Linked DNA regions of Saccharomyces cerevisiae S288C. Changing the gene in region 1 together with any one later gene gives a genetic interaction. Each region holds a gene or a part of one and is shown in the gene's direction. Other genes may lie near its edges.

The links. A genetic interaction does not mean that the proteins touch.
Region 2: of PSA1 (region 1) and ALG2, extra expression of one rescues a mutant of the other (dosage rescue), as found in Saccharomyces cerevisiae (one study listed by BioGRID).

Annotation. Positions count from the first base shown.
Region 1 is NC_001136.10:355,011-358,950, reverse strand, and holds PSA1 (mannose-1-phosphate guanylyltransferase), read left to right. Parts: upstream 1-2,191; coding exon 2,192-3,277; downstream 3,278-3,940. Other genes in the region: transcription factor MBP1, read right to left, coding at 3,573-3,940. UniProt on the Saccharomyces cerevisiae protein: Involved in cell wall synthesis where it is required for glycosylation. Involved in cell cycle progression through cell-size checkpoint.
Region 2 is NC_001139.9:379,260-383,209, reverse strand, and holds ALG2 (GDP-Man:Man(1)GlcNAc(2)-PP-dolichol alpha-1,3-mannosyltransferase), read left to right. Parts: upstream 1-1,938; coding exon 1,939-3,450; downstream 3,451-3,950. Other genes in the region: MRH4 (ATP-dependent RNA helicase), read left to right, coding at 2-1,687; deubiquitination module subunit SGF73, read right to left, coding at 3,628-3,950. UniProt on the Saccharomyces cerevisiae protein: Mannosylates Man(2)GlcNAc(2)-dolichol diphosphate and Man(1)GlcNAc(2)-dolichol diphosphate to form Man(3)GlcNAc(2)-dolichol diphosphate.

The DNA of each region.
Region 1 (3,940 bases):
GAACACGTAATACTACTATATGACTTGGAACAAATGGCTAATCAATAATCACATATGTTCGACCGCTGCAGGAAAAGAGAAAAGAAAGCAGTTTCTACAAGCAAGAACTTGGAAATACAGACAAACCTCCAGTACTTTATTAGGATTGTCCATTCCTCACCCAGATATGTTAAATTCGATACCAATGTGTTTTGATTCACGCGCAGAAAGAAGGACTTTCCCTGCTCTGCTCGGCAAAAACATACACGTTGTCGACCGAGCACGACTGCCGTTGTCGAAGCCACCACTGTCACTTCTCGTTTAATATCTTTAATCGCATCATCTATAGTTCCTAATTCTGCATTCCTAACACTGTAGCCTATCCAGCAAAATCATTCCCATTTTCTCTTTATATGTGCCTAGATTTTAAAATTTTGCTTAAGATGATTTACATTGAGGGGGGAAACTTGCTTTATCCGCTCCTCCAATTGATTCAAGAAGTATGGGCGCTGACCTACCATCTCAATTTCTTGTTTCACTCGAGAATTGTCACTGAGATAGTAAATGTCTAGAGAATCCTTTGCAACAGGAGATTTCAAATTTATATTCTTTGTGTTCGCATTCGCTTCCCGTCTGTTACTCGTTCCCTTACCATTCTATTATGCATTGCAGATCTGCCAAGTAAAAAAAAAAATACCTTGGTGTACACACCACCCATACATTATCTGACAAGGAAACAAAAGTAATGACAGTAAATTGAAGAACTTGTGATGAGCCAAAAAGAAGAATGTGTGCACTTCTTTTCGTATTTTTATGGTAAAGCCAGTTGGTGGCTTTCTTTGACGATATGAAACCCAGGATCCCATGCTGCCTATGTTGCATTTATGTAATTGTCTGTATGAAGCTCGCATTTTAGAGTTACTACTATGTGCTTTCTATGCAGTTGCTTGCCGCAGCCAAGACGTAGAGATTTCTTAGACGTGCTTTTTATTTCTTATGAAAGTAAAGAGTGTGTATACAACGAACTATGTTAATAATTAGTAGTACCAGAACATTGACTTTCGTAAGGACCAAACGGCATCCCTATCTCGGAAGAACACCACATGATGCAAGTTCTCCTGCCTACGAATAGTTCGTCAGGTGCCAGCACTGAGACCACCCAAACTAAAGGCAATCGAAAACTATACCACGTTTATCGTTATGTTTCGGCGGCTCACCTTGTATCAACCTGCTTGGCAAGCTGCTCTGCGAGGCTCCATTTTTTTACATTTTCAAGAGGAGTACATTTCACCTTAAAAAACGGCACGGAGAAAGCCTAAACTTGGTTGCATATACGCAATTACAAATCTTTTATAACTACTTCTGATTCTGTGCACGACGTGCCACCCGGTACAGTTCAAAGGTCACTATACGCACTGTCGATCGAGCCAACCCAACCCACAGAACATCCTAAAGCTTCAAATCGAAACGCGTACAGTCAGCATTCTTCATGCTGCACCCGATCCTTCTTACCGCGTGCTGGGTGAAAAGCAAGACTAAGAGCAAGACCCTTGGATAACGGCACCAAATGGACTACTTTCGTCCTTTCCTGCAACTCTGACTATAGCTTTTTCTATCATTGCCTAAACCAAACCGTCCACGCCACCTCACCAGCAACGCACAGCATGAAGAACGCGAAAACAGAAAAAAAAAACGCCAAAAGAAACGGCCACCGTGTACTTGCTGGCCAGCTAGAAATGCCTCGGGAGCCACCACGTTTATTTTTATCTCAATCTCTGAAAAACTTTTTTTTCTTTGTTTTTGTCGTTTTTCAGCATGAACAGCGCAGCAATAAACAAACAAACAAACAAACAGACGAACAGACACAGAACCACAGCTGACCGGTAGTAAAGTAAGCTGGTGGTTTCTCGCTTTGTTTTCTTTTTTTCCTTGCCTCGTGGCGCTCTTGTAAACATATATATAGTAGACTTTTCACGTCATTGTTAGAAGTTTCACATAGTCTTGTTTTCTTTTCTCCAAAACTGTATTTTTTTTTTCTTTGTCTATCTTGTTCTCACCTCTTTGACTTTGATAACGTTCATCAAGTGTGCAAACTACTTTACATTCGCTAACTCTTTTCTTCTGTCCAAATATTTTGTTGACTATACAAACAAAATATTATCAGCACAAGACAAGCTACAACTTCAACAAATAAAACATATATAATTGAAAAATGAAAGGTTTAATTTTAGTCGGTGGTTACGGTACCAGATTGAGACCTTTAACTTTGACCGTTCCAAAGCCACTGGTTGAATTCGGTAATAGACCAATGATTTTACACCAAATCGAGGCTTTAGCCAACGCTGGTGTTACTGACATCGTTCTTGCTGTTAATTACAGACCAGAAGTCATGGTGGAAACTTTGAAGAAGTACGAAAAGGAATATGGTGTTAACATCACTTTCTCTGTAGAAACTGAACCATTAGGTACTGCAGGTCCATTGAAATTGGCTGAAGATGTTTTGAAGAAGGACAACTCTCCATTTTTCGTCCTAAACTCCGACGTCATTTGCGAATATCCATTCAAGGAATTGGCTGACTTCCACAAAGCTCACGGTGGTAAAGGTACCATTGTTGCTACCAAGGTCGACGAACCTTCTAAATACGGTGTCATTGTCCATGATATAGCTACTCCAAACTTGATTGACAGATTTGTTGAAAAGCCAAAGGAATTTGTTGGTAACAGAATTAACGCCGGTTTGTACATTTTAAACCCAGAAGTCATTGACTTGATTGAAATGAAGCCAACTTCAATTGAAAAGGAAACTTTCCCAATCTTGGTCGAAGAAAAACAACTATATTCCTTCGATTTGGAAGGTTTCTGGATGGATGTTGGTCAACCAAAGGACTTCTTGTCTGGTACCGTTCTTTACTTGAACTCTTTGGCCAAGAGACAACCAAAAAAATTGGCTACAGGTGCCAACATTGTTGGTAATGCCTTGATCGACCCAACCGCTAAGATTTCCTCCACTGCTAAGATTGGCCCAGACGTGGTTATCGGTCCTAATGTCACCATCGGTGATGGTGTTAGAATCACCAGATCTGTTGTTTTGTGCAACTCCACCATCAAGAACCACTCCTTGGTCAAATCTACCATCGTAGGCTGGAACTCTACCGTTGGTCAATGGTGTCGTTTGGAAGGTGTCACTGTCTTGGGTGACGACGTTGAAGTTAAGGACGAAATCTACATCAACGGTGGTAAAGTCTTACCTCATAAGTCTATCTCCGATAATGTTCCAAAGGAAGCTATTATTATGTGAGTTAGGAAAACGAACTGTAATGAATATAATCTATATCACTCATCTGTTTTTGTTAATTTTATTTTAGCCAATATCATTATAAAAAGAGGAAAACATGCACAGAAAAAGCACTGCTTACTGTTATGTCTTAGTTTGTAATTGAAAATGAAAAATAAAAAAAAAAAAGAAAATAAAGAAAAAAAGGTTGATCCTTATGTAACTTTTTATTTACGTAGAAGTTAATAAATATTATCTCATTGTTTTATCTATTTTTCAGTATATGGATACATGTAAAGTTCCTCTATTTATGTATATTTTATGCATGACTATTCGCGTTTGAGATTGTGATGATCTGTTCTGCGCCCTTATTTTTATTATTGTTGGCTATCAATGTCTGTAGTATTACATCCAGCGAACTATCTACTTCTTCAATATTCATTTCCGTACCTTCCCTGATAATCCGTCTATATTTATGAATCTTGGCATTGTCTTCAAATTTCTTCACCAAGGAACTCAATTTGTTTTTCCTTTGTAATTGCAACATCGTTAGTTCTTGAGCCAATTCCAACCTTTCCAGCGTATTATTATCTTTCTCAACTGTGTTATTGGTGGTAGCCTGAGTTTCATCTTCTATTAATTTGTTCAATAAAACCGTTTGCCTGTATTCCAGCTTTTGTTTTATCA
Region 2 (3,950 bases), on another chromosome or scaffold:
AATGTCGCTTTTTTTCAAGCCAGTAATTTCACCACAGTGGTCTTTCCCCGTGCTTCTCAAGATAGGAGTGCGTTCTTATGCGGGAGGCCCAAGAACAAAGCATAAAGGAAACTCTCCATTAGCTTCAGTGCCTACAGGCAGTAGTAATAAAAACCGAAAACAGAAGGCCAAAGGCAAAAAAGGTAACAAAAAGAATGACCCTGACCAAGCATTCAACTTTGGAGAGTATGGTGGATTGAAAAAAGACGTCGAGATGAATATGGACAGTACGAATAAACTCATTCAAAAAATATCGAATTTCGACCAATTGCTTATACTTCCACCTGTCAGAGACGCTGTGAAAGAAATCATTTCCAAAGAGTCCCTGAAGCTACAAGATAGTAGGAAAAAAACCAGTGAAAATATAATACCGAGTCCCATTCAAACAGTGGCCATTAAGAGAATATCCAAAAATTTAATGGATCCAAAGTTACAAATACATGCGATTGCCGCTGAGACAGGTTCAGGTAAGACCATGGCCTACTTGATACCTTTAATAGACTATTTGAAAAGACAGGAGTTGGAAACTCCCGAATTATGGGAAACATTAAGAAAAAACGTTCTGATTCGGTCCATCATACTGGTGCCTACGCATGAATTGGTTGACCAAGTATACGAAACTGTTTCCAAGACGAAAACCTTGTTAGGCTTAAACTCTTTCAAGTGGGACAAGGCCACATCATATCGTGATTTATTAGAGAACATTAAAAATAGAATAGATATTTTAGTCACTACTCCGGGAAAACTACTGAACCTGTTCTCCATAAGAATGATAACTAGACCTGATAAAGTCTTGTCCAAAGTGGGTTTCGTAGTACTAGATGAAGCTGACACACTTCTAGATAGGTCATGGCTTGAAGAAACGCACTCCGCAATAAAGAGAATTCCTAACATTAATCACCTTATTTTCTGTTCCGCTACTATTCCTCAAGAGTTTAATAAAACAATGCAAAGACTATTTCCTACAGTGGTTCCTATAATGACACCCAGACTGCATAAGTTACCATTCGCTTTGGACTTTAAAGTTATAAATTCTGCCTTAAGTCCTTTCAAGGGATCCAAGATCAAAGCATTGGCACAAACTTTATATGCTATTTCAAATGATGACACGGAACCAGGGTTCGAGAAAAGATGCATTATCTTTGTTAACGAAAAAAAGAATGTTCCTGAAATTGTTAACCTATTGAATAAGAAATTCGGTCATAATGCCATCGGTTTAACTGGTGAAGATACATTTGAAGAAAGATCCGAGAAAATTATGCCCTTTTTATCACCACCGCGACCACTTTCGGAGGTGGTTGCTCAGAGTACTTCACCTCCCACTTCCTTGAAGAAATTTGAAATTCCTGATTCCAACATCGTCATCGGCAAATTGAAAAACACAAATTCTAATGGTACCGCACCCAGTAACAAGTCTTTGCATGTACTCGTAACCACCGACCTCATGGCAAGAGGGCTCAATTTCAAAGGTGTACGGAATGTTGTTCTCTACGATGTACCCAAAACGTCAATAGACCTGATACACCGAGTGGGCAGAACTGCTAGAATGAAACAGGGCGGCCGCGTATTTATGCTAACTGACAGTAAAACAAAATCTTGGGCTAAAGCTCTTCCAAAGATCATCAAAAAGCACCAGAGATTATCATGATAAATGTATATTCTTGTAAATATTATAACATATATACGAAAGGGTCACAATCACAGATACAATTTATAGATCGAGAGCCTTGCGTATAGCTTCTTTTTTTATAAACAAGTGCCTGGCTAGATGAACGCGCGAACAACAAAATAAATGATGTATTCATTTTAACATCAAAAGATTACGTTCGCCATTTAAGAAGTCACGAAATAGATACAGTAGTAAAGACAGATAAAAAAGAGTCGATTAGACAAGCAAAAATGATTGAAAAGGATAAAAGAACGATTGCTTTTATTCATCCAGACCTAGGTATTGGGGGCGCTGAAAGGTTAGTCGTCGATGCAGCATTAGGTCTACAGCAACAAGGACATAGTGTAATCATCTATACTAGTCACTGTGATAAATCACATTGTTTCGAAGAAGTTAAAAACGGCCAATTAAAAGTCGAAGTTTATGGTGATTTTTTACCGACAAACTTTTTGGGTCGTTTTTTTATTGTTTTCGCAACAATTAGACAGCTTTATTTAGTTATTCAATTGATCCTACAGAAAAAAGTGAATGCGTACCAATTAATTATCATTGATCAACTGTCTACATGTATTCCGCTTCTGCATATCTTTAGTTCTGCCACTTTGATGTTTTATTGTCATTTCCCCGACCAATTATTGGCTCAAAGAGCTGGGCTATTGAAGAAAATATACAGACTACCATTTGACTTAATAGAACAGTTTTCCGTGAGTGCTGCCGATACTGTTGTGGTAAATTCAAATTTCACTAAGAATACGTTCCACCAAACGTTCAAGTATTTATCCAATGATCCAGACGTCATTTATCCATGCGTGGATTTATCAACAATCGAAATTGAAGATATTGACAAGAAATTTTTCAAAACAGTGTTTAACGAAGGCGATAGATTTTACCTAAGTATAAATCGTTTTGAGAAAAAAAAGGATGTTGCGCTGGCTATAAAGGCTTTTGCGTTATCTGAAGATCAAATCAATGACAACGTTAAGTTAGTTATTTGCGGTGGTTATGACGAGAGGGTTGCAGAAAATGTGGAGTACTTGAAGGAACTACAGTCTCTGGCCGATGAATACGAATTATCCCATACAACCATATACTACCAAGAAATAAAGCGCGTCTCCGATTTAGAGTCATTCAAAACCAATAATAGTAAAATTATATTTTTAACTTCCATTTCATCATCTCTGAAAGAATTACTGCTCGAAAGAACCGAAATGTTATTGTATACACCAGCATATGAGCACTTTGGTATTGTTCCTTTAGAAGCCATGAAATTAGGTAAGCCTGTACTAGCAGTAAACAATGGAGGTCCTTTGGAGACTATCAAATCTTACGTTGCTGGTGAAAATGAAAGTTCTGCCACTGGGTGGCTAAAACCTGCCGTCCCTATTCAATGGGCTACTGCAATTGATGAAAGCAGAAAGATCTTGCAGAACGGTTCTGTGAACTTTGAGAGGAATGGCCCGCTAAGAGTCAAGAAATACTTTTCTAGGGAAGCAATGACTCAGTCATTTGAAGAAAACGTCGAGAAAGTCATATGGAAAGAAAAAAAGTATTATCCTTGGGAAATATTCGGTATTTCATTCTCTAATTTTATTTTGCATATGGCATTTATAAAAATTCTACCCAATAATCCATGGCCCTTCCTATTTATGGCCACTTTTATGGTATTATATTTTAAGAACTACTTATGGGGAATTTACTGGGCATTTGTATTCGCTCTCTCCTACCCTTATGAAGAAATATAATGTCTACTTAAATAAATAATGTATACCCCCCGAAGAAAAAATAATTTACATTGGAGAAGAAATCTCTAAATGCAAATAGCGTAACTTGTCCACAAACATAGACGTGTACATGTTACTTCGGCGAATAATTTTTTATTACTCACTTCGTGAACATGCTGGATAACGTGCATGATTCAATTAATTTATTCTGCCATTGTAGGGGTTCACAGAATTTCCAATACCTACTTCAATTCTCCCGTTATTGCCAGAGACATTAATACCGGTAGATACACCTTGCCCGGAGCCATTGACGCTGTTGACACTAGGGGGAGATTGGATACTATTTACGCTAGTATTGGGAGAGCTTATGGAGGCTTTCATCGTCATGAGGTTATTGTTACCGTTTTTACTACTATTATTGTTGTGGGTGCCAGATAAATGGCTATCTTGATTTGATTCTTGCATTAATTTGGTAGCGTTGGCTAAATATGAAGCAGCAGCTTCAAACTTCTGTTGTTGTA